4 linked regions of the Tamandua tetradactyla genome follow. The protein of the gene in region 1 interacts with the protein of each later gene in a pairwise test. Links are inferred from orthologs where the notes say so. Each region holds a gene or a part of one and is shown in the gene's direction. Other genes may lie near its edges. The genes, in order: UBQLN1, NGLY1, MIEF2 and PNMA1.

Region 1 (8,349 bases):
TAGTTTTCTATGTCATTCATGATGGTGGGTGATCCTCAAGCACCTAGGGAGGAAAATAGTTATCACCTGTGCTGGCCAATCATATCCACACACACGGAAGATTTCTCTTGAAATTGGCTCTCAGATTTGAAGACACTTTGTAATGAAATTTTTTGATACTTGATAACATTTTCTATTTCACTTTGTGAGGGAGGAAATAAGGAAAGATGTAGGTGATAGAGATGGTCCCTACATCTCTGTACAGCTGTGGTTCTCACCCAGGGGCAACTTTGTTTTCATAGGACATTTGGCAATGTCTGGAGACATTTTTGATAGTAATGATGAGGGCTGAAGAGAGGTTATTACTGGTATCTAATGGGTAGAGGTTAGGGATGCTCTGAAATGTCTTACAATGCACAGGAAAGCCCTTTACCCCTGACAAAAAATTATCTGGCCCAAAATGTCAATAGCGTCAAGGGTGAGAAACCCTGCTATACAGGAAGGTAAAAAACAGTGAGAATGGTGATGGAGAAAAGTTTTGTATCTTCATTGTGGTGATGGTAACATAAATCTATATATGGGGTAAAAAAAAACTGCACAGAACTACACACATACACACACACACACACAAATCAAGGTAGGCTAAAAAATAAGGTAAAAACTGAATAAGGTCTATAGTCTAGATTCCATGTCAATTTCCTGGTTATGATATTGTTAATGGCTATTTAAGATGTCATTGTTGGGGAAAGCTGGTTGACGGGTACTTGGGATTCTGCACAATTTTTGCAACTTCCCATGAGTCTTTAATTATTTTAAACTGTGAAAAAACAAATACAGAGACTGGTCAAAATAAAAACCACAGGTGTGTTCCTCAGACAGACTGACCACATCTTCTTTCCTTATCCTTTGCTTCTGTATGCTATACAGTATCTGGTACACTACCAAAATACTATGGGGTCCTACTTAGCAGCTTCTACTCAAAGTTTGTAGTGGCTGTAAATGTATCTGCACATTCTACCCACCTCTACCTGTCCCCCAGGCCTAAGGCTCATAAACTTTTTGAACATTCAACCCCTTTCCTTTTGATTTTGAACTAGTCTAGAGACTGTAGACTGCTTATAACATGTGGACCATAGTTTGAAACAGCTGCCACTAAGAGAGTTTCTGTTTCTCATTGTGCATATTTCTCACGATGCTCTCCGTCTCAAAGCACCTAACAAAAAGTATTATCCATTCCTTAAGGCCTGGTCTGAGCAGTTTCTTTTAAAATCCTCTCCTGGCTCCTTGACTTTCTCCACCCCTCCAAACCCTCCAAGCAAGGGGTGAATAGTTCCTTCTTTTGAAGTTCTATGTAAAGCAAATATACCCCAAGATATGTATGTACACATGCACGTATGTCTTTATATGCTACTACACTTTCAACATTGGGAGAGACAAAAAGAGTATAAAATATACACCACAACTCTAAATGGGCTTCCTCTTTAGTGGAAAACATGGCCATTCAAAATTTTAGTTCAATAGTGCTCTCATGCCAAGGTATTAGGCTGGGCACTGTGGGGGTATTTATGATGATTAAGACATAATCCCTGTTTTCAAGCACCTTGTCTGAAAAAGAAGATATACACGTAAGTAAGAATAGTACAAGACAGAATGTGATAACATAAAAAAAGGTTGTATGGGATTATTGAGGAATTAGAGAATATTTCTTACCAAAAAAGGTATTAGGGAAAAACTGTTAGAGAAGGCCACATTTCAGTTGAGATTTGATGGATAGGCAAAACAATGGGGCCAAAATGAGGGAGGAAAATTTCTAATTGCAATGAAAATGGCAAGGCCTTGAGGAAGAAAGCACAAAAGATGCTTGGAGATCTTAGGTGACTGGCTTGGTTGAGGACAAAATATGAGGAGCAAGGTCTTCTGGTAACATACTATGCCACAAAGTTTAGACTTTATTCTAAACTTTGGCGAGTTACTGAAGATTTTCAAGGGTGGTGGTGGTGTGTCTTGATAAAAGTTTCTAGAACAATAATATATGGCCCCATTAGAAAATAGCTTTAAGGATTGGGACTTTAGACTGAGGCAGAAGAACGTGTATGTCAGGGTCGGCTCACACTGGCTTGTGAGAACTGATTATTAAAATTTCCAGAATTTTGTGAGCCAGCGGAGCTCAAGTTGGTAGACTGACATTGGCCATGTTGTATTTTCCATAAGGAAACTGGCAAACACTACAAATCAAGGCTTGTTTGTTTCTCAGAGTCAGTTACTAAACATTTTATAATAGACATTTAGTACTAGGACACCACTGCCTATCTTCCCACCCCTAAGGAGGTTACTGCTGTAGTCTAGGCAGAGTTAATGAGGGCCTCATCTAGGCTGGTAGCAGGAGAAGCAATTTAAGATAATAGAAGTAATGCTGCAAGTGATGAATTGCCAAGTGAACTGCAGGCTTAGGTTTTCAAAAAAGGTTTCAGAGAGGAGGTAGTAACAAAGGACAGGTGCAAGGTAGGGGTAGAGACTTGAAGGCATGATAAGAAGTGAAAAAATTATAATGTGCAAATACTTCTAGCAATGATGATAAGCACATTTGACTAGAACACAGTATCTCTGCAGAGTAAAGAGAGTGAAACTTGTAGGCGGAAATAAGATTGTGGAAGGCCTTGAATTCCAAGCTAAGGAGCTGGGACTATATTTGGCAGGCACTGGAGTGCTTACTAAGGATTTTGAATAGGGTAAACATGATGAATGCATATGACCTACACCACTTATTTGACATAGGTACTGCCTTGCGCTGAAATTATGTAAATTCCTAGATACAAGATGAGTGTATTAAAAGTTTCCCAGAAGTTATGCAAGAAATTCTTGTTGAGTGATTACATTTTGTCAAAGAATTCTTCTATCATGTGAAAAATAACATCCTATCAATATACTTGAAGTATGAATATTTGAATGGATTTTTTTTCACAATGGGACAGTGGTATGTCAGGGTCGGCTCACACTGGCTTGTGAGAACTGATTATTAAAATTTCCAGAATTTTGTGAGCCAGCGGAGCTCAAGTTGGTAGACTGACATTGGCCATGTTGTATTTTCCATAAGGAAATTGGCAAACACTACAAATCAAGGCTTGTTTGTTTCTCAGAGTCAGTTACTAAACATTTCATAATAGACATTTAGTACTAGTACACCACTGCCTATCTCCCCACCCATAATAATACTTAAGGGTAGAGACTGCTTCTTATTTGTCTTTGGATATTCAACAGTATTTGAGAGTTTGTACTCAATTCACATTTGTACAATGAATAAAATACGCTCTTACAATTTTTCTCCATATTGACTATTTAATAAACAAAACCCATTTAGAAGAAAATGCTTTAACTAGACATCTACACCAGGAGTCAGCACACTGTTTTTATAAGTAAAGTTTTACTGGAATACAGCCATGCTTATTCATTTACGGTTGCTTTTGTGCTACAACGGCAGAGTTCAGAACTTGAGAAAGAGATCATATGACCCACAAAGCCTAAGATATTTACTATTTGGCCCTTTACAGAAAGAGTTTACCGACACTTGATTATGATAGATAACTATATTGTATTTTCATACAGATAAAATATTACTTCATAAAATGTGCCATATGTCTTAGAATTTTAAGAAATAAATGTGTCAACAATTACGAAGCAATTTCTTAAGTGCAAGGTTAGAAATTTACACACGGTTATTCATTTGGGGCACCAAAAAGGACACCTAATATGTAAGTGGTAAGAGGTAAATTCTTCCTGGAGAATATGACATAGGATGATGAGCAGAAGTTACGAAGATGAAGAAAAGGGGAGTCATTCCAGGCAAAGGAGACAGTCCAGACAAAAGATACAGGCAAGATACAGCAGAGGCAGGAAAAACTAGGCAATGAGGAGCTAATAAAGTTGGGAAGATATTTTGTTTAAATATATGGAAGAAGTTCCAAATGATTCGCTGTCCAATGGTGGAACTTTCTACCTTGAGAAGTCGTGATTAACTCATACCTGGACATAGTTAAGTAGTCATGCGTCTCCTTCTCAGGTCTTGTGTAATTTCTGCACGTAACAACAATGCTGCCAGAAATTTAGCTTTTATCAGATAATGTCTGTACGGCAATTTGTACTTTCAGAACTTCTCTTATAACCAAATGGGCTCCACTATAAAACTATCCTTATGCAACAGTACTTATTCCCATAATAGGACTGCTGGCTCAAGAACAGAAATGCAGGATGTATTTTTTGCATATTTGGGTCACAGAGAGTTTACGATTGTGCAGTACTGATTACTAAAGTTTATGCACTGTATTGTATACTCGTAAATCATCTTTAAGGGTAAATGATGCCATCACTTCAAGTTTAGGGTTTTCAGGAACAAAATTTCCTATTATTTGTACCTAAATTACACTGAAAATTATTTTTGATCTACCATAAAAACCACCGAAAAGTATGAAATGTAACAACTTGCTAGAGAACTATAAAATGAATACCTCAGCTCCGTTAAACTGTCCCAGTTGAGTGGGCATTCCTTGGGCATTCTGTTTTGCCCCAAACATTTTGGGGAATAGTGTTTACGGAGAATTCAGTGCGCTCGTGTAGCACTGTCAGAGCGGGAGCAAAAGTCACTTTGTCAATAGAAGTGGTATGATCCTCTGACCATACCTGGCTGACGTCAAAGCAGGATGCTTTAGGCGTGGAGCCATGACTCCGCTGGATTGCGCAGGTTGCTTACAGGCGTTTACTCCGTTTTTCTTTCGTTATGACGGGGACCTTTCTACTCCCTCCTACAAGGCAATAAGATCACGGAGTTCAAGTCTTCCAGGTATAAAAAAATTTAGCAAATTAAAATAACTACAAATATCTCCTTGCGGGAAACCCGAAGCATATAATAAAAGGCAACATGCGGTGCGGTAAACCAAGGAAACATGAAGTAAGAGAGTGGGAACGCTCCCCGGACTGCCCTCACGCACGCGCACCCGCGGCCGCAACGCCACTGGTCAAGTTCCCTTTCTAGTAACTTCGCAGCCCGTGACGTCATTTTCGTGTGCCCTTACAGCGCCTTTCAGAGCCCGCGTTTTTATTTTTTTGTGAAAGTGAAAAAAAAATGAGCTGACCTAACACATACCACTTTGCTGTTAGTCTTCCACTCCTGACACGTTTATATTTGGGGCCATGGAATGTGAGAAAAAGAGAAAAGCACCTGGAAGTCGCAACAGCGACTGCCCAGAATGACTCGGCGCCGCCGCCAGCTGCGTTTCCCAATGTGCCCCGCGCGGCGTTGGCGTAGGAAGGAGGAGGGACGTAGGGGGAGGGGCGGGGAGGAGGAAGCGGCGGCGGCTGCCGATATCGCTGCGAACTAGCGGCGTCTGAACACACCACAGCTGCTGAGGTGCGTCCCGGGTCTGAGTCGGAGCTCACACAGAGCTCCGTGGTTCCTCGCCCGCTAGGGCGGCTCTGCGCCGGTTGCCTTTGAGGCGGTGGGTTCCGCATTATCCGCTGCTCGGGCCGGTCGGCTGCGGCGTCTCCTGGCTCCACATCGCTCGCCCGCTCCCTCCTTGCTCGCCTGAGTCACAGCCGCCATGGCCGAGAGTGGTGAAAGCGGCGGCCCTCCGGGCTCGCAGGACAACGCCGCTGCGGCGGAAGGCACCGGCACTCCCACGACCGCTGCTTCCCCGGAGCCTAAGATCATGAAAGTCACGGTGAAGACTCCGAAGGAAAAGGAGGAATTCGCCGTGCCCGAAAATAGCTCCGTCCAGCAGGTGAGGGCCGCCTGGGGCTCGGGCCGGAGCAGGAGTGGGGGTGGCGGCAGGACTTGTAGCCTCCGTCGGAGGAGACGGTTTTCGAGGGGCCTGAAGAGAGGGTCGTCCCAGGAAGTGCTCTCGGCCATTCTCCTTGGCTTCATCCCAAACGAGAGCACACCTATGTCCGCGGGTTTGCGCTTTGGGATGCCACAGAGGTTTGTGGCGGGGTCGCGCGGCCTGTTTGTGGGACGCGCGGACGCCGCTTCCCTCGGCGCTTTCCTCCTGCGTCCACAGACCCACAGCCTCCTCCCCTCTCGCTCCCCGCCCCCAGCCGCCTCCCCTCCAGCTCCTCACAAAGGGAAGGGACCCGCCGCCTGGCTTCGAGCGGGGTGGAGGCTGGGCGGAGGCGAGGGTTATAACTCCTGACTCTAGTTTTTTTTCTTGAATTAAAAAAGGGGTGGGGGGGCGCTGGGAGTGCTTTGTGGTTTTTGCTGCCTCCGGGCTTAAGGTAGGTTTGGGTCTGGGTAAGGAGCACGTGCATGTTTGGTTCTGAGATTTGGCTGCTGAAATCTTTCCCACCTTCCAATCTTTTTTTAAAATACTGGCTGTGACGTATAAATTGTTTCCAGCAGCATCTCAATAGTATTAGTCTTAAGGAAAAAAGTGAGTGACTTTCATTCATTGATGAGTTACTGTTTTCTTTTTAGTATATTTATCATGTCTTAGATGCTATTCTGGGATAAGTTTATTTGTTAGCGGCGTTACTCAGATTTTGGCAATTGCGTTGGATAAAAGAAAATAAAATTGAAGTTAATGGGAAATATTGCCAAATTTACTTCTTAAAGTCTGTACAAGAATACAGATTTTGCAGACATTTTAAGAATCGATGAAATTCAAATTGTTTTAGTTCATTGTCGGGTATATCCTCGATATTTTTCTTAATTGAATTCGTCTCTATCTCAGTGTGAACAGTTAATGAAGGAAAACAATTCTTGAGATTTGCCTATAAGCAGCTTCTGGGTGGAAAGTACAGGATTGCACTATTGGTTTATTTCGTTCCATAAAGTGTTGTGGTCTGTGAGGCAAAACAGTGTAGGTAGTAACATCAACTGAGAAACTTTTATCACTATCTGAACCACACTTTTTTTTTAAATCTCACAGTGCTCATATGGGAATTTTCAACAATTTGTACTTTCCAGCACACACAAAAGTTGAAAGAATCATATGTCTGACACCCATATGTCCATCTCTTACAATGAACGTTTTGCTATATTTGTTCTATCACATATCTAAATCATTTATTGGCCCATCTTATTTTTTGGATGCTTTTCCAAGTATGTTGCAAGTATCAGTACATATCCCCCGAAAAAGTACTTCAGCAATGTACATATGATTAACTTGAGTTCTGTATTTTTTACATGTATTTCTTTAACTAAATTTGACATGCAGTTAATCATAAAAGGGCGTTACATTCCATACATTTTGACAGGTGCATACACCTCTGTAATCCAGACTCCTATTAAGATGTAGAACATAATTATTGACCATGAAATTCCTTCCTCCTTTTTCCTGCTCTGTTCACTCTCCCCTTCCATCAACCACTGTTGAGATTTTTTTTCACCGTCGTTTAGTTTTACTTGTTTTAGAACTTGATATAAATATGATCATATGGTATGTACCCTTTGAGATTCATTTTTGTGTTATCAGTGGTTCCTTCTCATTGCTGTTGTTTTCCATTATATGACTATGCTGTAATTTATTTATCCATTTCTAAGTAGAAAAATTCATTTAGGTCAATTTATGATGTGTATGTAAGGATGTTTTTGCTTTTTTTTCGGGGGGGGGGGTGGGTCGGAGCATGGGCAGGCATCTGGACTCAGGGTCTCCGGCATGGCAGGTGAGAATTCTGCCACTGAGCCACGTTGCACTGCCCTGTTTTTAATTTTTGTAATGGTGGAGTTAGAATTCTAAATTCTATGAAGTTTTTTTTTTAACCTCCCTGTAACCAAAGCAAATTTTTAATAAAGTTAAAACCTTTCTAAAGTCACTTTTCTGATGGCAGTTAATTTTTTTTTTTTTTTTTTTACCAAGTGCTTTCTTTTGAAGCAGAAAAATGGTAAAAAGTGAAGTTCACCACTTTGATCCTTAAGAACTTGAAGATGGGTTGAAATAAGTAAGGACTCTTTTAAGGGAAGCATATATATAAGGAAATGTGCAGGTATAAGAAGAGCAGTTTTCAGATGCTCTATTTCTTTTTAAAAAGCTACTTGGAGCGTAAGAGAAGACCTGTAATTTGAAGGTTTTTTAAAAGCATTTTATAGATTTAAACTATTTGTCTAATTAAAAATTGTCATTTAAAAATACCTAAAGACATTAGGAGTCCATTAAAATGTTCAGTAGAAAATTGGGAAATATTTGGTTCTGAAAATTATTTTGTCTTGTCGGGGAGGTGGGTAAGCCAGAGTCTCTCAAAGCTTAATATCGATGTCTTTTGCTTTCTATTGGGCAAATCTTTTCTACAATTTAAAATCTTTCGGTACAGGTTTCTATGTAATGTAAATTTTTAAATATATCATACTAAGGTAATATAAAACTTAGGTAAATTGTAGGAAAGAAG
Region 2 (7,192 bases), on another chromosome or scaffold:
TCCTATTCTCTATTAAATGAAGTTTCCACTGAACAAACTGGTTTTCTCACTGTCCCTTGGTTGACTCTTACTTTTCTTTGCTTATATATTTTTTTCTTCAACAACTTTTTTGTTTTCTCCTACCTACCATGTGCTAGAAGCTGAGATACAAAAATAAATAGGGTATGTTCTTGTTCTCAAGAAGTTCATAGTCTAGCAGAGGAGAAAGGGAAACCAATATGTACAAACTACTGAAACATTCTATAATAGAAGTCTTAATAAGATACAAAGGGGCAATGAAGTCATACTCCCTTGTAAAATCAGGAAAGACTTCAAAGAAGTGATTCCTAAGCTCTATCTTGAAAATGAGTAGTTGCTCATCTGGCAAATAGGATGAGAAAGTGCACTCGGGCAGGAGGGATAAGACAAAGGCCTGAAAGCATGAAGCATCATGCTGTCTTCAACAAACTGCTTGTAGTTCTTTATGCCCGATGTCTGATTTGAGGGTGAGACAAAGCAACAGAAAAGGCATGAGAGTAAAGCAGGGCCAGATCACAAAAAGCCTTGGATGTCATACTGAGGACTTTGCATTTCATCCTGTAAGCCAGAGATCATGTGCTAGCAGTGCTGGTCTAATTCTGGTCTCATTCAGAATGCAATATACTTTTATCGAATTTAAATTCATCTAGGAAGGGTACGGTCAATTCGCCCTTCACCACAGTGCCCATTACTTTGGTCTTGAAAAGGCTATTTCACATAATTAAGTTATTTGGGTAGCTCCTGTCACCATTTGAATTTAGAGTATGGGCAAGGAGTAGCCATGGAAACCTTTTACCAGGAGAATAGCATCCAAATGCTATGCACCCTCTAAATTTTATAGGTGAATATTTATTATGTTGTAGAAATGTGGAGGATGGATTGGAGGAATGAGAGTTCAGAAAATACTGTAATAGACTGAGCAAAAGATGATGAGGTCCTGAACTGAGACAATGGCAAGGAGGAAAGATGCAGCAGATATTGAGAAGGAAAAAGGTCTTCAGGGAGGAAGAATTTGAATAGTGTCCTTTGGAGGTTAAAGAGTTGAGAGTGGAAGGTCTTCCCAGCTGTGGGATAATCTGGCATGCCTAATCAGAAACAACAAGATTAAAACTCTCCTGTCACCTGTCTCAGACTTCTTTGAACACAGCAGGTATTCAATAAAAAAGTTGTTGGTTAATAACTTAACACAATCACGCAATAATGGATCACAACACCAATTCCTAGAAGGCTTCAATCCCTCTCCTTGCTGATGGTCTTTGTTAAGGTCAATATTTTTGTATGTCAAAAGTAATCCTGGGGAAAATTTATTGGGTTATTTTTTCTTCTTTTTTTTTTCTTTTTTGTCCATTACATTTAAGAATAGTGCCACCATGTGTCAACTTTAAAGATGATGTTTTTAATAACACTGGAATTGTGAGGAAAATTCATTTCTGTTGGAGCAAAAAATCAATGAAAGAACAGGAAGTTAAATGCTGATTTAATACTAAAACACTTTGTTTGAAGCAATGATAGGCATTAAAAATTTAAAAATAGCTTAATATCTTTAACTTTTCTAAAGGAAACTGAAAAATCAAAATATCTCCAACTTAAGCAGAAAGAAGCAGAGAGGTAAAAGAACAAGACAACATCCCTTATAAAAAATCCCCTCAATAGCTTCATAAATGGTGGCATCCAAGAGAGACTGTAGTGTACTGATAAATTTTAAGAGAAGGGTAGGTTAAGAGTTGTTTGGAAGAATTTAGACTTCAGGCGATTATCAAAAGATCAAACAGCAATTTACAGAATAACCCTTGAAATGCTAATTTTCTATGATTTTATGGACTGTACAAAATTATCTCAGTATTAATGCTATGACATTGTTTCTTCAACACTATGGTTGCATATTTCTCACGAAGGTACCCTATGGCCATTAACTCTGTCACAAAGGCTAAATTGACAGCCCTTCCTTCTCCTATTTCAATTCCAGAGCACCTCCACTTTGATGTTTTGCAAATATTGGGTTTTCTCATAATAGTCTGTTTGAAAATAAAAGTGTGCCATTGCTTGTAAAAATTGGTAACTCATTATATATTATAATCTTAAACGATTATTTTAAGAATATACAAATGTGTTAATGGAAAAAAAGGAACCCAAATTAAAGGGAATATAGTTTGTGGTGGAGAGAGCTAGCTATAACTCTCCCATCCCCCCTCTCGTTTATATAGAGTTGTGTCCAGCTAGGAACAACATTTCCTAGCCCCGTTTTATTTAGCTAGGGCCTGATTCTTGCCAATGAAATGGAAGAGAAAATGCTATAGACGGCTTTGGGGCCCCTGTGGTTAAGTGGATGTGCCTTCTCTTTGTCCAACCACAGGCTAACTCAGAAAATTCTGAGGCTCTATGGCAGAAGTTGGCAAGCTACGGTCTGCCGGCCAGATCAGGCAGGCCAGATCAGGCAGGCCATCTGTTTTTGTAAATAGAGTTTCACTGGAACACAATCATACCCCTTCATTTTAAAAATCATCTATGGGGCTACAATGCAAAGTTAAATTAGTTGTGCCACAGACCATACCTCCCACAATGCCTAAAACATTTACCACCTGTTTCCATACAGAAAATGTTGACCCTTGTTCTAAGGGATGGAAGGAGCCTGGGTCCCTCAGTAACTACATGGAGGAAAGCTACCCCTGACTAAATGATACCTGCCATTAAACTGTTAAGTGAGTAAGAATAACGCTTCTGTGTTAAGCAGACTGAAAATTTTAGTTACAGAGGCTAGCAACATCCTATGTGTTAAACACATCATTCCTGGAAGCTTGTCCAAAACCTTACCTATTTATGAAAAGAAACTTCTCACATATATCTGATAGCGGAATGGAAAAGGAAGTTAATGGCAGAGCTCAAGGTCTTGCTCAGAGATAATGGAAAAAAAGTTCAAATCTTAAAACCAAACCGAAGATAAAGCATTAAAAACACTCAAAGAGGAAACTTAGGCAAGTATCTTAGAAACATAAGGTCAGGAAAAAGTATTTGTGTAAGGAAGTATACTTCCAATGGCACCATGAGGCAGACACTGGATTGAAGAGGTGAAGTACCCATCTTCTAAGAGAAAAAATAAAGAGTAATGGTCATGTGATCTATCTGTAAATCAAAACTCACTAAATAATACTTATCGTTACTACTCGGTATACATATTTTTAAATCCCCGACCCCATTCTATTCTATACTTTTTTAGTTGGTTCTTATTGTGTATATGTGTGTGTGTGTGTGTGTACACGTGCGCATACGCTTTATTCTGGTCACCACACAAATTGTCCCCGCAAGCCTCTAACCTGCAGTTTGAAACATGTCCTTACAGAGGCATCATACTATTTGAGCTGGAATTTATGTAAAAATTTTTCATTTATTCCCGCCTAATTCTAAAAAGAAGCCAAATATCTGAAACCCAGCAGAGCCTAATGCCACGCGTTTGGTCTTGAATGTCTTTTTTTGTCTCTCCTTCCCTCCGGTACCTTTAACCCAGGTCTATCTTGGAGGCCAAACCTGATAATCTGCATGGAAAGGGCTGGGGTTTATTGAGGGAAAAGGGAACAGTGGGGTGGAGATTTAGAGGATCTCCCCTCCTTGTGACTAGATCATTTAGGCCCGCGCCACGGAGTGCTTCTGCGAAAGAGCTGCCAGCGTCGCTCGCGTCCCTCCCGACCAGCCCACCCCGCCTACACGCCGTGTCCGCAGCCCCTCCCAGTCGAGACCCCCACACTGACCTCCCGACCAGGACAAGCCTCCCCCCGCGTCCCTCCAATGTAGGCAAACAGTCCTTCCAGCCCGAGTCTTCCCAAGCGCCCCTCCCGATCAGGCACGTCTCCCCACCTCCTAGCCGAGCTCCCCCAACGCTCCCCACCAGGCCCGCCCCCGCCCCTCCGGGCCGAGCCTCCCGCCGACACCGGCCCCTCCCGACCAGACACGCCCCTCCGGGCCGGCTGCAGAGGCTGCCGCGTGCCCAGGCGCCTGCTCAGTGCGGGACGCGGCGCGCGAGGGGCGGCGACGGCCACGGGCGTTGAAGCATGGCGGCGGCGCTGGACAGTACCTCGGACTCCGTGTCCCCGGCGGTGGCAGAGCTCTGCCAGAACACCCGGGAGACATTTATGGAAGCCTCCAAGCTACTGCTCACCTACGCGGACAACATCCTCAGGTGCGGGGTGGGCGTGGGGCGCGGGGGCGGGCGGGGGCGGCGCCTCTTCGGCCCAGGTCCGGGGCTCCAGGCCGGGTTCTGGAGGGCGGCGAGGCCGGGGGAGGTCTGAGGGGGACCCTGGGGAATCGGCGCTGCGCGGGAGTCCGCTGGCCAGGAACCCAGAGACCCGACAGGCTCCACCCCCGCACAAGAAGAGGAAGTTTCTTTGCACTTGTGACTTGGCATTTAATGTCGGGGTGAGCTGGAGTGAACTGGAAGTCCCGGGGAAAGGGCAGGACGGCGAGGAGGTGGAAAGGCGCGCCTCGGACACCTGCCTCTAGCCTCATGGTTTTAACTGTCTTAAATGTCAGAACTGCGCTTTCGTTTCTACTATACGGATTTTACCGAACCAGACTGCTTAAATTTCCACATGCACATTAGAAGTTAGTCGCGGACAAAGTAAACTGTTCTTCCTAACGTTTTGTAACTATCCTAGAGCAAAGTACTGAAGTGGTGATTTCTGAAAGAAAACTTTATGGTTCCCCGTCCCCCCCCCCCCCCCCCCCGCCGCCCATTTTCTTGATTGAAATATTATTAACCACATTACTGTTAAGTTACAATTTTCTTATTGCCTGGATTCTACTTTTCAGCATGACCTCTTAAATAAGTAAAAATTAGTAATGGTAATCATCTTGCATAAGAGTCATTTATTTCATTCTTCTGTGGGTAAAACAGAACATGTCTAAAGCAGTAAGGGACCTTAGAGACTTTGGAAATTGGGAGGCAAGTTTCAGTGTTCATTTTAAGTCACTACCTACTACAACTCTTCAGATCAAGTGATAAGGGAGTTGATAGATGGAGGAAGGAAAGGGAACAAAGTTAAATGAGTTCATTGTGCCGGTGATTTAGCCATGTTACCTAATTTTATCAGGTCATCTTGATCATCTAAGTTCATTGTCCCCCTCATCTCCTTGTGCATTTGCTTTTCTAAGTGAACTGTATATTAGTATGGAGTCTAAAAAGGAATTCCTCTCAGCAGGGTTATGGATTTCACCTGACCCGAATTTATAGACATTGTTTATAAGGGCAGTGTTTTAACCCATGGCAGTAATACTGTTCATTTAGATAACATTAATGACTTTGAAGGTAAATTGAAGGGAGAATATATTGAGCTGTTATTTTGTGCCAGATGTTATGAGGGATGCATCATGTGCACTCTTCATAGCTACAGAATTGTGACATGTTTGGGGAGTTCTTTCCTCCTCTGTGACATCTTCTCAATTCACCTTTCTACCCTTAGAGGCCTTAAAGCCCTTCAGAGCACAGGATACCTGTGGGACGCTGCAAGAGTGTAATCAGAGGCTGGGCTCTCCAGAGCCAGTTAGCTGGGGCCTCCCACCTGGAAAGCCATCAAGCAATTAAACCCCACTATTCAGAAAAGGGACTTGACCTCCTAATGAGGACTCACTTCTACTTTCATGCCGCTGAAACTAAAAATGCTGAGATAAGGTGTGTTAAGGGAGGAAACCCTTTGCATGCAAATAATGACTTTTGGCATCATAATCATTATTATGAATGTTTACCAAACTCCTGAAAGAAACCTGGCATTCGGTCAGTTCATACAATGGTCTTTACTATGGTTTATGTTTCTGATCTGGAAAAAGATTTGATGAAAAAAGAAATTAGAAATCTGGGACTCATAATCGGAGATGTTATAAAAGACTGTCTTTTAGTTTGGTCTTAAATAATAGTGCCCCTGCTCTCATATTAGCATTTAAACTCCTTAGGCCTCACTGAGGGTGGGGATGAGGATGGGGGATATTCTGTAACAGGGTGTGCCAGATTGAAAGCATTATGTATCCTAAAAAAACCCACATTTTAATCCTGATCCATCTCGTGGAGGCAGCCGTTTCTTTTAATCCCTATTCAGCACTGTAGGTTGGAACATGATTAGATTATCCAATTGTAGGCATTAACCCTTGATTAGAGGGAGATGTGACTCCATCCATTCCAGGTAGGTCTTGATTAGTTTAATGGAATCCTTTGAAAGAGGAAACGTTTTGGTAGAAGCTGCAGAGCCTCAAGAACCATGAGAGCCCATGCAGCCAGAGACCACTAGAGATGAAGAAGGAATATGCCCCTGGGGGAGCATCATGAAACAAGAAGCCTGGAGAGAAAGCTAGCGGATGTAACCATGTTTGCCATATGCCTTTCCAGTTGAGAGAGAAACCCTGAACTTCATTGGCCTCTCTTGAGTGAAGGTAACCTCTTGTTGGTGCCTTAATTTGGACATTTTTATAGATTTGTTTTAATTTACACATTTTCGTGGCCTTAGAACTGTAAACTTGCAACTTAATAAATTCCCTCTTTTAAAAGCCATTCTGTTTCTGGTATATCACATTCTGGCAGCTTTCAAACTAGAACACAGGGTTTTACTGTATTTTGGTGGATTCCTTTGATAATTTGCTCCATTTGTTCTTTTAAAATATGTTTAATTTTTCCACTAATTTCTTAACACAATTATTGATTACCAACTGCACTAAGTGTAATGGGGAAGAATCAAGAATAGAATGTGTTTTTTTTCTTCAAAGAGCATAAATCCATTTGAGAGAAAGATATAGGTATGGAAAACAACCAGAGCATATAATCTAAAGAACAATTTCAAGTCAGTGTTTAAATACTTACCTATTTATGTGAGGAATTAGCAGGAGGACCGTTTGATAAAGTGGATCTGATTGAGTAGCAGAAAGCATGTATTTGACACAGTAGACAAGAGAGAGCAATTGTAGTTTCTGGAGTCAAAGAGAAGCATAATGAAAGAATTTCATGTAGAATAATAATATGACACAAGATATGGATTCCATTTGTGATGCAATTGTAATAATCATAAGCGTAAATCTGAATGGAATGGAGAAAAAAAGTTACTTTGAGCAGAGATTGGCAAGTTTCAGTGGCAGAATAGAAAGAGCAGACCTGGTGGCTGAAGGAGAGAAAATAATCAAAAATAAATTCAGATTTCTAACC
Region 3 (8,353 bases), on another chromosome or scaffold:
GTGAGGAACCCTCCTCGCCTCATCCCAAGGGGTGCCCTAGGGAACCCAAATTGGGAATTGCCAGCACAGGACTGTGGGGTCTTTATCCACGAAGCCAAATCAACATGTTCCCACTTCGCACAAGGCATGGAGACCTCAGGGTGGGGTCTGGCCACCCTGCCGGGGCCTGCTGTGCCATGCCCCCCCCCCCCCCACACACCTGCATAGGCTCTCCGGGATAAGCTCGAGGCTGTTGTCGGCCGCCATGAACTCCTCCAGGCTGGCCAGCTTGCCGATGCCTGAGGGCAGCCCGTCGAAGTCCAGCTTGTTGGAGTTCAGGTAGAGGCGCTTCAGCTTGGTCAGCTTGCAGATGGCCGACTGGTTGGGGGGGGGGATAGGCAGGCAGGGGCTAGTCAGGCTGGGCACAGCAGCGCGCCCCCCCCCCCCCCCACGTGGCCAGGGAGCCCGTGCACGCACAGGCAGTGAGGTGAGCTGGTTGCGGGACAGGTTCAAGGTCTCCACATGCACCCACTGGTCGATGCACAGGGACAGCTCTGTGATCTGGTTGCTGCTGAGGTTGAGGCGGCGCAGGCTGGGGAGGGTGTACAGGCACTCGGGCACCCGCGTCAGGTCATTGCAGGACAGGTCTACATCTGGGGACACAGGCAGTGGGAGTCAGCAAGCGCCCTCAGGGCCTTGAACCCCAGTTCCACCATCCACAGGCTGTGCAGCCCTAGGCAAGTGAATTAACCTCTCTGAGCCCGTTTCTCTCCATGGAGAGTAGCACAAGTTCTAGGTGTAGAGCAGGTGCTCATAACCTAGCAGTACTTGCTGCATCACAACCACAACAGAATACTCATGTAGCCCTTCTCCTCCCTCACGAAGGGGTCAGGGAAGGGGGCAATCGACACCCCATCAAGTTAGAGGGGGACCCCCTGACCTGCCAGGCTGCTCAGGCCCTCCAGGCTGGTGGGCAGGTTGCTCTGGGTCCGCTGGGTGTTGCGCAGGTGCAGGGTCTGCAAGGCCGTCATGGCAGGGAGCTGCCTGCAGGGACACAGGGCAGGCTGGGCACGTGGTGGGGGCAGGGCCAGGCCCCGGGAGCAGGGGGTGGTGCCTTCGCTGGGAGGGCAGATGGGGGGCTGTATTTGCCCAGGGGGACAAGGCCAAAGGTGGCTGCAGGCAGAACTGATGACATTTAGAGGCCTGAGGGTATAGCAGGCCCCAGGCCAGGACTCCTCAGAAGGAAAGGCTGTGGGGGTGGGGCCTCACGGGGTGGGGCGGGTCCTCATGGGGCAGGGCAGAGGCGGGGCCCCGCCTCGCGGTGGAGGGGCAGGGTGGGGCGGGGCGGGGTGGACCTGAGCTGGGCGTGCAGCAGTGGGTTCCCACTGAGCAGCAGCGTCTGCAGGTGCCCTAGGCGGCGCATCTGGGGGGGCAAGCTCTCCAGGCGGTTCTCGCTGAGGTCCAGATACAGCAGGTCGGTGAGGTTGATGAAGAGCTGGTTGGGGATGGTGTCGATGCTGTGGGCGGGAGGGACGGCCTGAGCGGGCGCCTGGCAGGTGGGGCCCACGCTCCTGCCCGGGACCCCCAGGTGGACCGGCACCTGTTGTGGCTGAGGTTCAGCACCAGCATGTTTTTGGCATTCTCCAGCTCTCGCGGGCACTCGGTCAGCTGGTTGTAGCTCAAGTCCTGGGTGGGAGGGAGCAGGCCCTGGTCAGGGCATCAGGGGCTGGCCCCACCTGCCAGACCTGTGCCGGCTCCGGCACCAGGGAGGAGGCATCCAGGGGAGAAGCAAACAAGGGGATTCCAGGGCCAAAGGGAGGCAGCCCTGAGAGGAAGGGTATGGCCACTCTGAGCCTCAGTTTCCCCACGTGAAAGTGGGATAAAAATGGCCCCAGAGACCACAGCTATGGGGTGGGTGGGGACTGCGTGGTTGGGGTGACCCACCAGGTGGGTGGACAACCACTGACCAGGACTGAGAGGTCATCCAGTTTGAAGATGTCATCAGGGACTCCGGAATTCTTCAGGCTGTTGGCTCGAGCCACGATGGCCTGGGGAAGAACCGTGAGGGCCTGTGAGTCTCAGCCTCCACCCCCAAGGCTGGAGAGGGACACTTCCTTCAGGAAGGCTGCCTGAGTGCTGTCACACCTCTGGACCTCTTCCGCCTGGCAGGCTCTTACTCATACCTCAAAGCCCAGCTCAAATGTACCTCACAGCCCAGCACAGGGCCCTCAGGGAACCTTTTCTAGATCTGAGTCAAGGTTTCTAGAATGGAGCGACCAAAGAGAAATCAGTGTGTGGACTGAGAGGAAGACAGCAGAGCTGCAGTCTGCTTTCTGACCCCCTGGGTGGAACTTCCACATACCGCAGACCTACAGGAAGTTCGTGGGGGTGGAGGAGGTTGTCCCATGATTGTAAGAAGCAGTGGTAAGAATGATAATAGCCACTAAGGCTTACTCAGTGCCATTCCACCCTACTTGCACTTGGGGCCCAGGAAGCTGAAGTGACTTGTCTAAGGTCATGCAGCCGGAAAATGGCAGAGTTCACATTTGAACTTGGGCAGCCTTGGCCCAGAGGCTGTGCCCTAAACCTCTCAGGTCACTGGCTGTGGACCTGATCCTCGTTGTCCAGGGGCTCCCCTCTGACCCTCCCACCCCAACTAAGCTCACCCTACCAGCCCCACCACTGCCAGGTGTGACCTGACCTCTGAGCTTAAGTTTCTCCCCTCCCAAAATAGGTGGAAACCAGGGTTAAATGATTTACTACTACTGCGTTGTTACAACCCAAAGTGGGTAATCAGGACTTCTTTTCTTCTTTTCCACTCTGGCCTTCTCCAACTCACACGCCTCACCTTACACAAGCATTATTATGTCTTCCCTTCTTTATGCCTCGGCCCCTGATTCTCATATGGGGGTAGACAGAAATGCTGGCCCGGCCGGGGATCTGGCCTTGCCCTTCCTCTCCGGGCAGGATACCAGCGCCTGCCCCTAGGCCCCTCCCATGTCTGGCACCCCTCCATGCTCGTCAATACCTCACCCCTGTGCCTGGAGGCCTCCCCCTCCCCCCAGCACTCACCCGAAGTGATGGCAGGCTGGACAGCTCTCCATGAAGTGTGGTCAGGTTGTTGTGGCTCACAGACAAGTGCTCCTGGGGCAGGAAGGGAGACGGGCTCAGCAGGCTGGATGGGGTCCACACATGTCCTGCCCACCACTGCAGCCTTGTACCCCATGGGGGGAGGGGCCTCGGCCACGCAGGCCCAGTCTATCTCTGCCTTCTCCTCACTCACAGGCCTGACCTCTTCTTGCACACCTCCCATGACAGGGTGCTTACTCCCTCTCAGCCACCTCTGACCACGACTGTCAGAGTGTTCCTCCTGTGCTGGCCACCCTTTCCACCCAGCCCAGGCTCATTCACAGGGACACCCTCCTGCTCCCCGCCTGAAGCCCCTTACCAGCTTCTGCAGAGCGGCCAGCTCCTCTGGGAGGTAGCAGAGACCCGTGCGGTTCAGCTTCAGCCATCGCAAGCTGGTCATGGACTTGACATTCTCAGGGAAGTAGCCACCCTGTGTAGCCACGGAGTGCCATGGTAGGCATGTCTGGAGAAGGGAGGCACCCCCTCCCGGTACCCCCACTCCACCACCCACCCATCTGGGTGACCCTGGACGAGTCACTTCATCAATTTCCTTACCCATGACATGGGGCTAATAAAAGCCCTCACATGACAAGTGTTGTGAGGATGGACTAACTGTAGGTGTGGTTGGTGGCCTGAGATCTATTTGTCCCACTGGACTCTGAGCCCGGGGAGGACCCGGACAGGACAGTACCTGGCTGAGGTACGTTCCAGATTTGCACTTTGTCTCGCAGCACAGCCCACCCCCTCACACCCCCACCAGGTCCTGACCCCACTGTGCTGAGGCCTCGGCTTGCCACCCCCATGGACTCCCAGTATTCGAATGCCCCAGGTGCACATGGGCAGATGGGGGCTGGGGGGTTCGGGTCTGCAGTGACAGCCCCTCCCTGCTTGGGGGAGGAGGTCTGGGACAAAGAGTGCTCTCCGTGCCCCTGGCTGGTGTCCCCTTTCCCCTATGGCCATCTTCCCAGTCTGTAATGCAGCCTCTCCTAGTGCAGAGAGGACACCTGGAGACCCCGTGGGGATGGGGGACAGGGTGACATGCAGTCAGCCCACGCCTGGGCATGGGAGTCAAAGGTGTGGTGGTTTGCTGGGAGATGCAGGAGGAGCGAGCCCCAGGCTGACGCCCAACCCCAGGCAGAGCGGGGGAGGGGTGGGGGGCCCTCAGACCCCCACCTAACAGCCCCAGGCCCATACCTGCCCCGCACACTGCAGCCACACATCCCCCCACCAGGCCAGCTCTCAGCTGCGGCCCTTCTCTGGAGTCACAGCCCAGCCCACCCCATTCCCGATTCTCTCCAGGACAACCTCCTCTTGCCCTCCAACTGGGCAGCGCCAGGTAGGGGGCAGGGGTGGGGAGGGGGCCGGTAAGAGAGGCAGACCCACACCACCGGGGCTCACACCGGCCTGCACACCCTCCAAGCAACTTATCACGCCCTCCGGACACTCCCAGGAAGGGCTGCAGGGAGACCCTCCTCCCGGAGAGCAAGCCCGGGTCTCCGAGGAGGAAGTGTCTGGCCCAACACCGCACAGGATGTGGCCAGGGGTGGCGGCGGGGCGGGGCAGCGCGGGCGTGAGTCAGGGCCTGGCTGGGCGGTGCGGCCTCCGAGGGGCACGACTGGGGCTGGGGCGGCGTGAACAGGGGCCCGCCGGCCGGCCCAGGGTCGCCCCCGCCGAGAGGCCCCTCTTCTCGCAGCCCGGCCTGAGAGCCGTCCTCCCGCCCGGGCAGCGCGCCGGGCCTCGGGGCCGCGGACTCCGGCTCGGGGCAGGGCGCGGGGACGGTCCCGGAGCGCCCGGAGGGCCACACCCCGGCCCGGCCGGCGATCGCGGCCGCGCGCAGGGCCCCGCGGGCGGCCGAGGAGCGGGGGGCGGCTGGGCCCGCGGCGGAGGAGGCGCAGCGCCCGCGAGCAGGCCCGGCCGGCTCACCTTGAAGTCGTTGCCGCTGAGGTCCACGCCGCGCACGAACGGCAGCACCCCGGTGGCCTCCATGGCGCCGCTGTCGCCGGCGGCCGGGCAGGGCGCGCAGGGCGGATCCGGGAGGCGGCCGCGGGCTGGGCCTCCGCCGCCGGCTCCGCCCCTTTAACCCGCCCGCGCCCGCCGCACCCGCGCCCCGGACCGCCCTGCCGCGGGAACGCGCCTGCCCGCGGGGATCGCCGGGTCTCGGGGCGGGGAGGGCCTTGGCTTCGGCTCCTCTGACGGCGGCAGGGTTCAGCGTCGGCTCCGAGAACCCCGCGGCGGGACCCGGGGATGTTGCTGCAGTCGTCCGACTGGGTTTGAGGGGTTCGGGGGCCCGTTCCCGAGGCGCCCCTGCCTGCCCCAGGGCTTGGCCCGGGCCACCCTATACCTGCGGCCGCATCTGTGAAACGCTTCCTAAGGCCAGACGCACCCCCACCTCCACGTGGAACTCCCAGCATACAGCAGGCGCCCAATGGTGCACGTGTTTGCTATCCCTGCTGGGCATGAGCTCCCCCAGGTGTGTTCCCGCGATCTCCCGCCTCGTGGCCCCCCGAATGCAGCTCCCACAGGGGCGGGGTCCGGGCGCAGTCCAGCGACCCCAGAGCAGGCCGGGCATTTCCCAGCTGCTGCTGTTTTCAGCCACGCCGTGCGGGGCCCTGCTTTACAGAAGGGAAAACTGAGGCCTGTGGAGCATGGACACACCCCCTCACCCCAGGTCACCAGGTGGGCCAGCAGGTAATCCTGAAATGCCCTCAGGTTTCTGGCAGGTGACCTCAGGGCGCCCGGCAAGTGGTCCCGGGAGAAACGTGGGCCCAGAGAGCTTTCTTCACCCCCAGGCTCACTATCCCAGGGCACCCAAGTCACAACGGGCCCTGGGGGCCGCTCATTCCACGCGCCGGGACAGGCCTCCCAGCCTCCACTTCCCAGCCCGCCGCGGGCTCGAAATGGAGTCCTCGGCCTTTAAGTCGAGAGGAAGTCGCGCCGGGCGGGGGGCGTGGCCAGGTGCCCATTGGCTGAGCTGCGCAGTATTTTGGCACGTGGGCGGGGCGCTGTGCGCTCTCGTTGGAGCTCGGCTTCCTCGTCTGCGTGCCTCTGGGGGTCACCGCCCGCCTCCTCCGACCCCGGCCCCGGCGCGCGCCTCCCGGCTCTGCCGCGTTCCATTCCCAGGTGGGCCGGGCGGGGCCCGCTTCGCGCTGGGGCCCGTTCGCGGGGCCGCGACCTGGGTACGGCGGGGCGGGGGCAGCGCCTCGGGGCCCGCCGCCCGCGCTCGAATCCCGTGTTGGGCAAGCCCCTCGGTCTCCGGGACGCGGGTTCCTCGCGTGGGGGCGGGCCGGGCGGAGGAGGGAGGGGTCACGCCTGCCCCCCGCGCCGGCTCCTGGGGCTGGGGCCCGGGCCGGGGCCGGGGCCTGCTCGGCCGCCGGCGCTGGGCGGGCGCCTGCGTAGCCAGGAGGGAGGTGTTCAAATCGGTGTACAGTTCGCGAAGTGGAGGCGGGTGAACCCCCGGTGGACAAACCGGCCGCCCGGCGGACTGGTCAGCCGGCTGGCCGGTGTCCTCGCGCGGCCCCTGAGACCTCTTGTTCTATTTTTAGCCTGGGCGGGTGGGTAGGTGCTTGGGAATGAGTCACTCCCTGGCCCGGGCTTCGGCGGGCACCTGGCAGGCCGGGAGGGCTGCGTCCCCAGGGCCCCAGCCGGCCGTGACTTCATGACGCGGGCTTCGGCCTCCCGGACTGGACAGTCCTGCCTGGTGTGTGTTTGTCCCTCCTGCAGGCCCGGGGCCCCACGCTGGCCCTGTAGCCGCCCCTCTCCCTCAGCAGGTGGGCTTGGTGGGCAGAGCCTGAGGCCGGGTCTCCCTTAGAATGTGGGGCTGGGTCAGGGCCCTGCCTCTTCTCACCTGCCTGAGCCTGCCCAGAAGACACCTGCGGACTCCCTCCTTCTGATCCTTTCTGTCCACCACCTTTGGCTGTTTTGCAGGGGAGGAAGTGGGTGGCGCTGCTGACCCTGACCTTAACTTCTGGGGTGCGTGGCCTCCTAGCAGCTGATGACAGCTGTCCCTCTGTCCCCAAGCCACTGGGCAGTCTCACGTCTGAGCTCTAAAAAGCTTCCTTGCTCACTGCCCCTGCACGTAGCAGGACTTGCGCGTGCCCTCTGCTGCCTGGAGCCAAGGCCGGCCCCCTCTGCCTGTCCTGGGGGTGCCCTGTCAGCATTCAGGGCTGGGAGTGTGGCCCCTGAGTCTTGCTGAGGTCCCCTTAACTCCTCCCCACCTGTCTACACTGGGAGTCTACCCAGCCCTGGTTGGAAACCAGAGCTCTAGGGCTGCGGCAGGCTCTGAGCTGGGCTCGTGGGTCAGAGAGGACCAAGTAGACTCAGGGGCCAGCAGGAAACACTGGGGTGCCACACGCTGTATGTTTGCGGGTTTGTGCCCCCACTGCTCACTGTGTGATCAGGGAAAAGCTGGTGGTGACTCCGACTCACTCCTCTGGGGAGGAGCCAGTCTGCATGAATCCCCCTTTTCCTGCAGGCAGTGGTGTGCAGGTTTGGGGGAGCAGGGCCTTGGGCAGCACCCTGATCTCCCAAGAAACCATACACGTAGCCCTTTTCTCCTGGGAAGCTGTCATGGGCTTGACTAAGTGCCCCAGCAGGATGGCTGCAGGAGCCCTCTGCCCATCCCTGCCTGCCCTGGGCCACCCCCTGGCAGTCCTAGCTTCTCCACTGGGGCTGCCCACATGCACGCATGCACACATACACAGATGTGCACACACATGTGCATGCACACACGCACACCTGGTTCTCTCCCAGCAGACCATGGCTGAATTCTCCCAGAAGCGGGGGAAGCGGCCCGACGGTGACATCTTCGGCACTGCTGTGGACTTCCTCCTGGCCAATGCCCGCCTGGTGCTGGGCATGGGTGGGGCTGCAGTACTGGGCATCGCCACCCTGGCTGTAAAGCGGGTAAGGCTGTACTGGGTAGGTCCCAGCAGGGGGCCGGTGGGGTGCATTTCAGTCCCCCAGTAGCTCGGTGTGTCCCACCTGGAGCTGTGCCTGGACCCCGGCGACCCGACCTGTGTCTCTGCCTCCAGCTCATTGACAGGGCCACCAGCCCACGGGATGAGGATGACGCCAAGTTGGAACCCACTTGCCTGGAGGATAGCTGGAAGGAGCTGAACCTGCTCAGGGCCACGCCGCGCCTGCACCCCCAGCTGCCTCCTGTCCCCCTCAGCCGGCCCCTCCTGTCCCCAGCCCCTGCTGCTGCAGGTGAGCCACAGCCCTTCTCCCAGGATGCAGGGGTTCCCTT
Region 4 (7,765 bases), on another chromosome or scaffold:
GGGGGGCGGGTCAGAAAGTCTGATTGGGCGGGGGAAGAGGTCTACCTTGTCTTCTGATTGGCTTATTGGGTTTCTGGGGCAGTGACATCGTTTGGCAGCTTTTAGAAGAGAGGCATGGCGCTGAGTCAGGAGCCTTCCCCCTCGGTTCTGGGAGAGGGGGAAGCTGGGCTGTGTGGCCTGGGGCACGTCGGGAAGGCCTCCGTTGGAGCCCTCCTCACACACATACACACACACTCACACTCACACTCTCTAAGGCCCCCGCTGGAGCCCCCCTCACGCACACGCACACTCTCACTCACTCCCCCGCCTCCCCAGTGGTCCCCGGGGACTGGGAGGACCAGACCACTTATGTGAACTCCCGCCTGTGCCCGGCTGCAGGGTATTCTACAAGGTGAAGAGCCGCAGCGCCCACATGAAGAGCCACGCAGAGCAGGAGAAGAAGGCTGCAGCTCTGAGACAGCGGGAGAAGGAGGCCGCCGCCGCCGCCGCAGCAGCAGCTGCAGCCGCCGCCGCCTCCCCACACCCGCAGGCCCTGCGGGACGACGGCGGCGCTGGCGAGAAGGGCTGACGGCAGGGAGGGCGCGGCCGGGCGAGCCTCGGCCCGGGCCCCCCACCCCCGGCCCCTCCCCGCACCCGCCTACGGAAGCGCCTGGAAACACCCTGGAACCTCCGGAGGGAGTGAGAAGAGAATACCATAGACTTTCCTCTGAAAAAAAAAAAACAAACCAGACAGTCAAATAAATGGCTCTTTTATTTATAAAGGCCCCAAGGAGCAGTGTTAATGGGCAGCAGCATCCAGTTCTCTTTGCATTTAGTCTGTTGGAAGTTGTCCTCATGCTTTCGTGGAACCGTGAGAGTCCCCACTTGGGCTGCCTCCTCCGAAGGGGCTCCAGCCTCTGCGGCCGGCCGCTGCTGCCACCTCTCACACTCTGACCTCTGCTGCCGCTCGGTCTCTTCCCTTCTTCCTTGCTGTCCCATCCTCCCTCCCCTCAGTCTCCAGGAAGCCGCCTTGGCAAGCCAAGCACAAACTCACCCCCAAGCTTACCCCCATGGCAGCATTATTCCCCCTCTCCAGAGGACCTCAGAGGCCTGGCCCCCATCCCGAAAAAAAGGCACTGTTGGCGGGAATGTGGTGGTCCAGGCCTTAAGCTGCTCCGTGACTATGTCCTCAGAAAGGCCACCTTCTCCTGGGAGGCCTCCAGAATGCATCGTGGGAGAGTCGGAGGACAGGTACCTATCCCATTGTTGCTTGCTAGCAGCCCTGTTGGGGTTGGAAAGTTTTCTCAAATGTTTGGGGAAGGGGGCCGGGTCCCTGTCTGAACGCTTAGCCTGCTGAAAGGAAGGAAGCAGAGCTTTTGACAAACCTGGCTCTTCCTGCTTCCCACCTCTTTGCCAAATACTTTCTTGGCCCTGGAGGTTGCCATGGGAGTTTAGCCTCGAGCAAGGCCTGCAGAGGCCTGGAGCCATCCCCAGCCACCCAGCCGGTGCCTCTGTGCGGCAAGTACCCTACCTGCCTTTGTCCTGCCCTCAGCAGTTACCCCCCAACTCCCCTCAGCACTGTCTAGTGCTGATGCCCACAGCTCAGCTTCCCAATCCTGCACGCTGGAGATTTCTGGATCTTTCCCTGGGAGAGGGAGGTCTCCTAAGTAGATTGGAAAGGAGCCTTCATTTCCTTGACTGGTGTCATTCAGGAGCTATTTATTTATTCTTGATATTTAAGTTTTAACATCCTCTCAGGGACCAGGGGGCCGCCTGCTTTCCAGAGGCCCAAGTGCATTTATCCCCAAACAAGGCACCTTCTTGGCACCACTCCCCTGCCTCCCCCCTCAGTCCCAAACCCTAAGGTCCACGCCTTGTTGCTCTGGAAGCTCTTGCCGGTAGGAATGATGGCAGCATTGAAAGATGGTAAAAAAAAAGGTGGAGGGTGTCGGGAGCTAGCAGGAGCATTTGGGAGATCAAAGGCAGTTTTTATTTGCTGCTACTTCCCTGGCTGTACTTTCAGATCGCCTGAGGGGATTGACAGGAGGCCAGAATTCTAATTTTGTTTATCACGCCTAGATTCTGGCTTGAAGAAGCCATATTTGGCATGGAGTCACTGAGGCAAAAGGGCTGGAAGGTTTTAGAGGCCTCTTCAGTTGCCAGTCCCATAGGAGAGCTGAGTTATTTTTCTGTTCTTGTTATTCAGCTTGAACTGTGTAGGAGTTCTAAGTGAATACAAGTAAATGACAGGTCATACATTTTAGAAAGAAACCCCACAGTATGCATTCTGCTACTCCTTTTGAAATAGCCGCCTAAAAGCATCATGTTAGTAACTGAGAGTGGGGAGGGAGTTTTGTTTCTAAACTATGCACTATCAGGTATTTTTCAATATTCATTTATTCATTCATGTGCTTCTACCGGACCCCAGCTATAAGAGTAACAAAATTCTTCTCCCTCCCCGACTCCTGGATGACCCCATATATTTCCAGCTTCCTAGTCAGTTTCTTCCATAGACTTCTATAAGCTACATGGCCCAAGATTGCAAAAATCTGTTACCCTTCTAGAAGCAGGAGGGTAGCAAATTTAGACTAACTTTTAAATCACTTGTGGAATATGAGTGCCTTCTCAGCTTAGCTCCAAAGTGCTACTTCTGTGTCCCATGTTTGTTTTTTTGTTTAAACTGTATTTAGTTTCAGGCCTCTTCATGGGCGTATAAAGGAAACAACCTTCAGTTTCATGAGACCCTGCTGACCAGTGGTAGCATCCAGTCCTTTGACATCTTTTTTTAACAAGAAAATGATTTCTTCTCAGCTCACGAAGACCAGACCAGGCGAATGTAGATGGGGAAAGTATTAATTGTCCAGCAGCCTATCTACCAGATACCATATTTTAGGAGGATCCATGCTTAAGGATGGATTTATATCTAGAATGCAGTGTGAAAATTAAAATGCTCAGAGGGCAGATGCAATTGTGGCAAGTGCCCCGCCAATACAGTTGATGCAGCCATAGAAGCTGGTATGTATATCTCTCATGGTGCTTTCTCCCTGTGAACACAGTCAATTCATTACCCACCCCCTCCATTTTTTCCTCTTCAGAGCTCTTTGCTGTAGGAAGTTGTGACAAAACCTCCAGTTTCATAATGCCCTCCTACACTGTCCCACCATATCCATCTTCCAGCCTCCACCTGCACTCAGCTAAGGGCATGACACTGACCTAGTGCCTGTATTCCAGACCATTTCTGAGGTCTCTTACCTACCCGAGGAAGCAGTGCTGTCAGCACTGTCCTCCATGCCTTCAGCAGCCCCCTCAAGCCCTTTCTGCCGCCCCACCTCCCGCTGTGCTAAGTGAGGTCCACCCTAGCACAGAGGTCACATGCTGCTTGTGTCTTAAGGGATGGCCTATGTTTAACTGCCTCAATGATGTAACCTCTTTCTTATGTGCCAGATGTTAAGATGAAGGAGGAATACACATATACTCCAGCCTCAGCTGTTTAAATGTGTTTTCACTGGGGCCTACTTTCCTTGGATCGTTTATTACCAGACTGGCAAGCCTAACTCCTTAGGTTTACAGGAAGTATGCATATTTTTATAAAACAATTCTGCATCCTCCCCACATTTGGCTGTGTTACTATTTGCCTCTAACAATTTGCAGCTGTTATCACTTTTTCTTCATTGTCTCTCAAGTTGAAGGCCTTGTTGGAGGGGACAGAGCACAGGAACAGCCTTGACAGTCTGTAATTATTGTACAAATATTTTAATAGCATATAAATACTATATTCCTTTTATTTTGAAAAAAAAAAGATCAGACACTGCCTTTTGTGTGTTTGCTGCCTGTGGCACCCTTTTTTAAAAAGACTGTTACATATTAAACTAGTGTACATATATTATAAATATTACCTCTTTTGCTGTACAGTTGTGATAGACCAGACTGAAAATTTTATTTTTTGTGTGCTTTTTATAAAAAAAAAAATTAATACACTAAAGAAAATCTTGCTGATGTGATTGTAACGTACCTATGTAACTTATTTACTTTTGAATGTTCTTCTGTATCTTTAAACCTTTTATTAAATAAGGTTTTAAAAATTCAGAGTTGAATGCTGTGTTCTTTTGCTTTGTTTTTTTCACCAACTGGGGTTGACATAATTAGGCCTTGTTTTGCATACAAGGGATGACACTGGACATTTTTGTACACGGATTCTGTTTTACCAGCTCATTGTCGACGCTAGGACAAGAAAAAATTCACACTGATGGTGTCCTTGCTACAAAGGTGACTGAGTAGAAATAATGTATCTACTACCAAGTTTTAGGTAAGAAAATATTTAAACTCAGTGTCGCACACAAAAACATAAATGACATGCCTCCTGGTTTCATTGGAATTAAATGCAGGATGCAGGGTATGGTCAGGTGGCCGGGGTGTTGAGAACATTTTATTATGCAGCATAGACTAACTGAATGAGCGACCTCAATACACAGGCCTGAATGATGGGTGCATTTTCAACAATATTTTAAGTCTACTCTAGATCCTTATTTTTAAACACGGTGCTTAGCATATTTGTTCACTGTAAAAAAAACAAACAAACCGGAAAACGTGAAAAAGGAAATGCGCCATCAAAAAAACCATTGCCCACAGCCTGTCGCTGGCACCATGGCAACGAATCGACTCAGCCCGCCACGGGAGCGCGCGCATTTCCCGTCGCCTGGGACACCGTTGCCATGGTTACACGCGCGCTTGCTCCGTCGTGGGGGCGGGGCGCGCTCGACGCCTCGCGATTTGGGCGGCGCCCTCCACTGCGGCAGAAGCTCCTGAGCTCGCTGTGAGGAGGACGCTCTGGTCGCCACGCTGCACCAGAGCCCGCTGCGACCGGCGCGCTCGGCTGCCCCTACCCTCGGTCGTCTCAGCCGCCATAGCCTCGCCTCTCCGTCCTTCTAGCCCGTCTGCCGCCTCGGTCCCCGGTCATCGTCGCTGCCTAGAAAGGTCCCTGCGCCCGCGGAGAAACCATTCCCGGCTCGCCTGGTCTGGCCGCCGTCGCCTCTGCAACGTTGGAACAGCTCCCTCGGTGGACGGCAGAGTTCTCCAGGCCGCCGCCCTGAAGGCCTAGCTCCGTCCGCCAACGCCTGATCGACGCCCGGAGCGGCTGAGAGCAGAGGCGGCCACGCCCCGCAACCACACCCCGGCGGCCTCTTCGGCCCGGAGGCTCCAGCCTTCTCGACCCGCCCTCTCTTCTCGCCTTCCTCGTCGCGAGTCAACGCCCTGTCTGCAGGCGACGGACCTCGGCCGTGGAGCCGACCGGAGACGCAAGATGGCGCCGGCCGCGTGACTTACTAGACTGAGCGTCCGCGAGGCCTCGCTCCGAGAACGCCCGGACGGACTTACGAGAGTAGTACTTTGGGGTAGGGGAAGGGCGAGGGCAGGACTTTGGTATCATTTGTTAGTTGTAATTGCGGGAAGCTTGCCCCCCTCGTGTTTGTTCGGGGGAGAGTCTGGTATTGTGCTAAGCCCTAGGCCAAAGCCACAATCGAATTCGTACTTGTAAGGGTGCCGCCACTTGATAGTTGGGAAAATGGCGATGACATTGTTGGAAGACTGGTGCAGGGGGATGGATGTGAACTCCCAGAGAGCCTTGCTGGTCTGGGGAATCCCAGTGAATTGTGATGAGGCTGAAATCGAAGAGACCCTCCAGGCAGCAATGCCCCAGGTACCCTATCGAGTGCTTGGGAGAATGTTCTGGAGGGAAGAGAATGCGAAAGCAGCCTTGTTAGAGCTCACTGGTGCTGTAGATTACGCCGCTATCCCCCGGGAGATGCCGGGTAAAGGCGGGGTCTGGAAAGTGGTCTTTAAGCCCCCAACTTCTGATGCTGAGTTTTTGGAAAGGCTGCATCTTTTCCTAGCGAGAGAGGGGTGGACCGTGCAAGATGTTGCTCGGGTCCTTGGATTTCAGAACCCCGCTCCGGCCCCAGGCCCAGAAATGCCAGCAGAGATGCTAAATTATATTTTGGATAATGTTATTCAGCCTCTTGTTGAGTCTATCTGGTACAAGAAGCTGACCCTGTTTTCGGGGAGAGATATTCCGGGGCCTGGGGAGGAGACTTTTGATCCCTGGTTAGAGCACACTAATGAGGTCATGGAGGAGTGGCAGGTGTCTGATGTAGAAAAGAGGCGGCGGTTGATTGAGAGTCTTAGAGGCCCCGCCTCTGATGTCATTCGCATCCTCAAGACCAACAACCCCGCCATAACCACTGCCGAATGTCTGAAGGCTCTTGAGCAGGTGTTTGGGAGTGTGGAGAGCTCTAGAGATGCGCAGGTCAGATTTCTGAACACTTATCAGAACCCTGGAGAAAAGTTATCTGCTTATGTCATTCGTCTGGAGCCTCTGCTGCAGAAGGTGGTGGACAAGGGGGCCATCGATAAAGATAACGTGAACCAGGCCCGCCTGGAGCAAGTCATTGCGGGGGCCAACCACAGCGGGGCTATCCGAAGGCAGCTATGGCTGACTGGGGCTGCGGAAGGGCCGGCCCCTAACCTCTTCCAGTTGCTGGTGCAGATCCGCGAGGAGGAGGCCAAGGAGGAGGAGGAGGAGGCTGAGGCAGCCCTCCTGCAGTTAGGCCTGGAGGGGCACTTCTAAGTCCCTGGAAAAAGGGGGCTTTAGGGCAGACCTAGATCACGTCTGCTCCATTGTTTGTGTTATAGGTGTGTTCTCTGATTAGTAAATCCATAGAAGTGTTCTGTTGTGTTCTTTTTGGGGTGGGGGGAGGGGGAGTCCGGCCTGCATATTAGTGTAACATTTGTAAAATTGCAAGCGAGCACTGTGAGCTGCTGCAACAGTGCAAGTGCATCATGCTGGCTGAAATGCCAGGTAAAGGCTTGAATACGTGCTCAGTGTGAGCTGTCATCGTGGCATCATTGTCAGTTGTGAAAAACAAGTGAACCTGTGCGCTTCCCATCAAGGTTGTTAAATGAGAAATTGCATGTTCAGACAGCACAAGGCTTAGCTGAAAGGAAGTGTTCAGTAAAAATGTGAACTTTTATTGTTACTAATATCGTGCATAGTTTGTGCTTACTGTATATTGTTCCTAGTTTATATTAATGGAAAAGAAATGTGAATTTATTAGATATTTGTTATTTAACTATAAAGTGCAATTTCATATTTCTCATCTTTAAATGTCTCTCAGTTTAATTGAAAAGTATTCTGAGACTACAAAATGGGGTGTTTGAAAAATACTGCAACTGTAGAGGTGTGTAAATCAAGAATTTTGATACAAGATACAGATATAAATCGCCTGAGAAGTTGATAACCTGCAGAATAATCCATTCCCCCATTCTCCATCTTTGTCATCAAATAGTAGGTCTCCTTATTCTTGCTGATTCTAAGTGTTCTAAAATTTGAAATTGTTTAATAGATGTATGCTAATAAAAAGATTTAAAACTTATTGTCTGATTTTGTCATGTATAAAATTCTTCAGTGTAATTTCAGCTCTCTCTCCTTTTCTTACAATTTTTTTCCTTTTTAACAAAATCAAACCTTGATTTATTTTTAAGCTTTATCATTATGAGTTAAAATTGTAATTTCTTTTAATATATTCAATTTTTACATGTTTTTAAGGCAAATATTAGGAAGTTAAATAGATATAAGTAAAATAAAAATTTTTAGGTTAATTTTGAGATGGGGTTTAGGGAGGGTATCTGGCAATGTTTTTATTTCCTTTTTAAATCCCTTCTCAGCAAAAATTTTGTTTCACTGAAGTAGTAACTGACTCAGTATACATTCATGTGTAAAATGATATTTTAT

Evidence for each region.
Region 2: the proteins of UBQLN1 (region 1) and NGLY1 interact in binary tests that used the Homo sapiens proteins (3 or more experiments, as listed by UniProt). The two-hybrid records come from large-scale screens. The link is inferred for Tamandua tetradactyla from reciprocal best matches to the Homo sapiens genes UBQLN1 and NGLY1.
Region 3: the proteins of UBQLN1 (region 1) and MIEF2 interact in binary tests that used the Homo sapiens proteins (3 or more experiments, as listed by UniProt). The two-hybrid records come from large-scale screens. The link is inferred for Tamandua tetradactyla from reciprocal best matches to the Homo sapiens genes UBQLN1 and MIEF2.
Region 4: the proteins of UBQLN1 (region 1) and PNMA1 interact in binary tests that used the Homo sapiens proteins (3 or more experiments, as listed by UniProt). The two-hybrid records come from large-scale screens. The link is inferred for Tamandua tetradactyla from reciprocal best matches to the Homo sapiens genes UBQLN1 and PNMA1.

What each region holds. Positions count from the first base shown.
Region 1 is NC_135328.1:116,702,495-116,710,843, forward strand, and holds the start of UBQLN1 (ubiquilin-1), read left to right. Parts: upstream 1-5,481; 5' UTR 5,482-5,570; coding exon 5,571-5,750; exon of another isoform or gene 5,751-6,039; intron 6,040-8,349. Other genes in the region: uncharacterized protein LOC143673720, read right to left, coding at 4,720-4,775, 5,106-5,481. UniProt on the Homo sapiens protein: Plays an important role in the regulation of different protein degradation mechanisms and pathways including ubiquitin-proteasome system (UPS), autophagy and endoplasmic reticulum-associated protein degradation (ERAD) pathway.
Region 2 is NC_135341.1:62,310,130-62,317,321, forward strand, and holds the start of NGLY1 (peptide-N(4)-(N-acetyl-beta-glucosaminyl)asparagine amidase), read left to right. Parts: upstream 1-4,006; 5' UTR 4,007-4,061; coding exon 4,062-4,189; intron 4,190-4,837; exon of another isoform or gene 4,838-5,624; coding exon of another isoform or gene 5,625-5,677; intron 5,678-7,192. UniProt on the Homo sapiens protein: Specifically deglycosylates the denatured form of N-linked glycoproteins in the cytoplasm and assists their proteasome-mediated degradation. Cleaves the beta-aspartyl-glucosamine (GlcNAc) of the glycan and the amide side chain of Asn, converting Asn to Asp.
Region 3 is NC_135332.1:1,888,464-1,896,816, forward strand, and holds the start of MIEF2 (mitochondrial dynamics protein MID49), read left to right. Parts: upstream 1-5,263; 5' UTR 5,264-5,533; coding exon 5,534-5,578; intron 5,579-6,111; exon of another isoform or gene 6,112-6,284; intron 6,285-7,857; coding exon 7,858-8,010; intron 8,011-8,138; coding exon 8,139-8,313; intron 8,314-8,353. Other genes in the region: FLII (protein flightless-1 homolog), read right to left, coding at 200-357, 457-632, 920-1,023, 1,335-1,496, 1,580-1,665, 1,947-2,027, 3,052-3,123, 3,428-3,538 and 1 more. UniProt on the Homo sapiens protein: Mitochondrial outer membrane protein involved in the regulation of mitochondrial organization.
Region 4 is NC_135338.1:32,581,933-32,589,697, reverse strand, and holds PNMA1 (paraneoplastic antigen Ma1), read left to right. Parts: upstream 1-4,749; 5' UTR 4,750-5,539; coding exon 5,540-6,601; 3' UTR 6,602-7,406; downstream 7,407-7,765. Other genes in the region: MIDEAS (mitotic deacetylase-associated SANT domain protein), read left to right, coding at 379-568.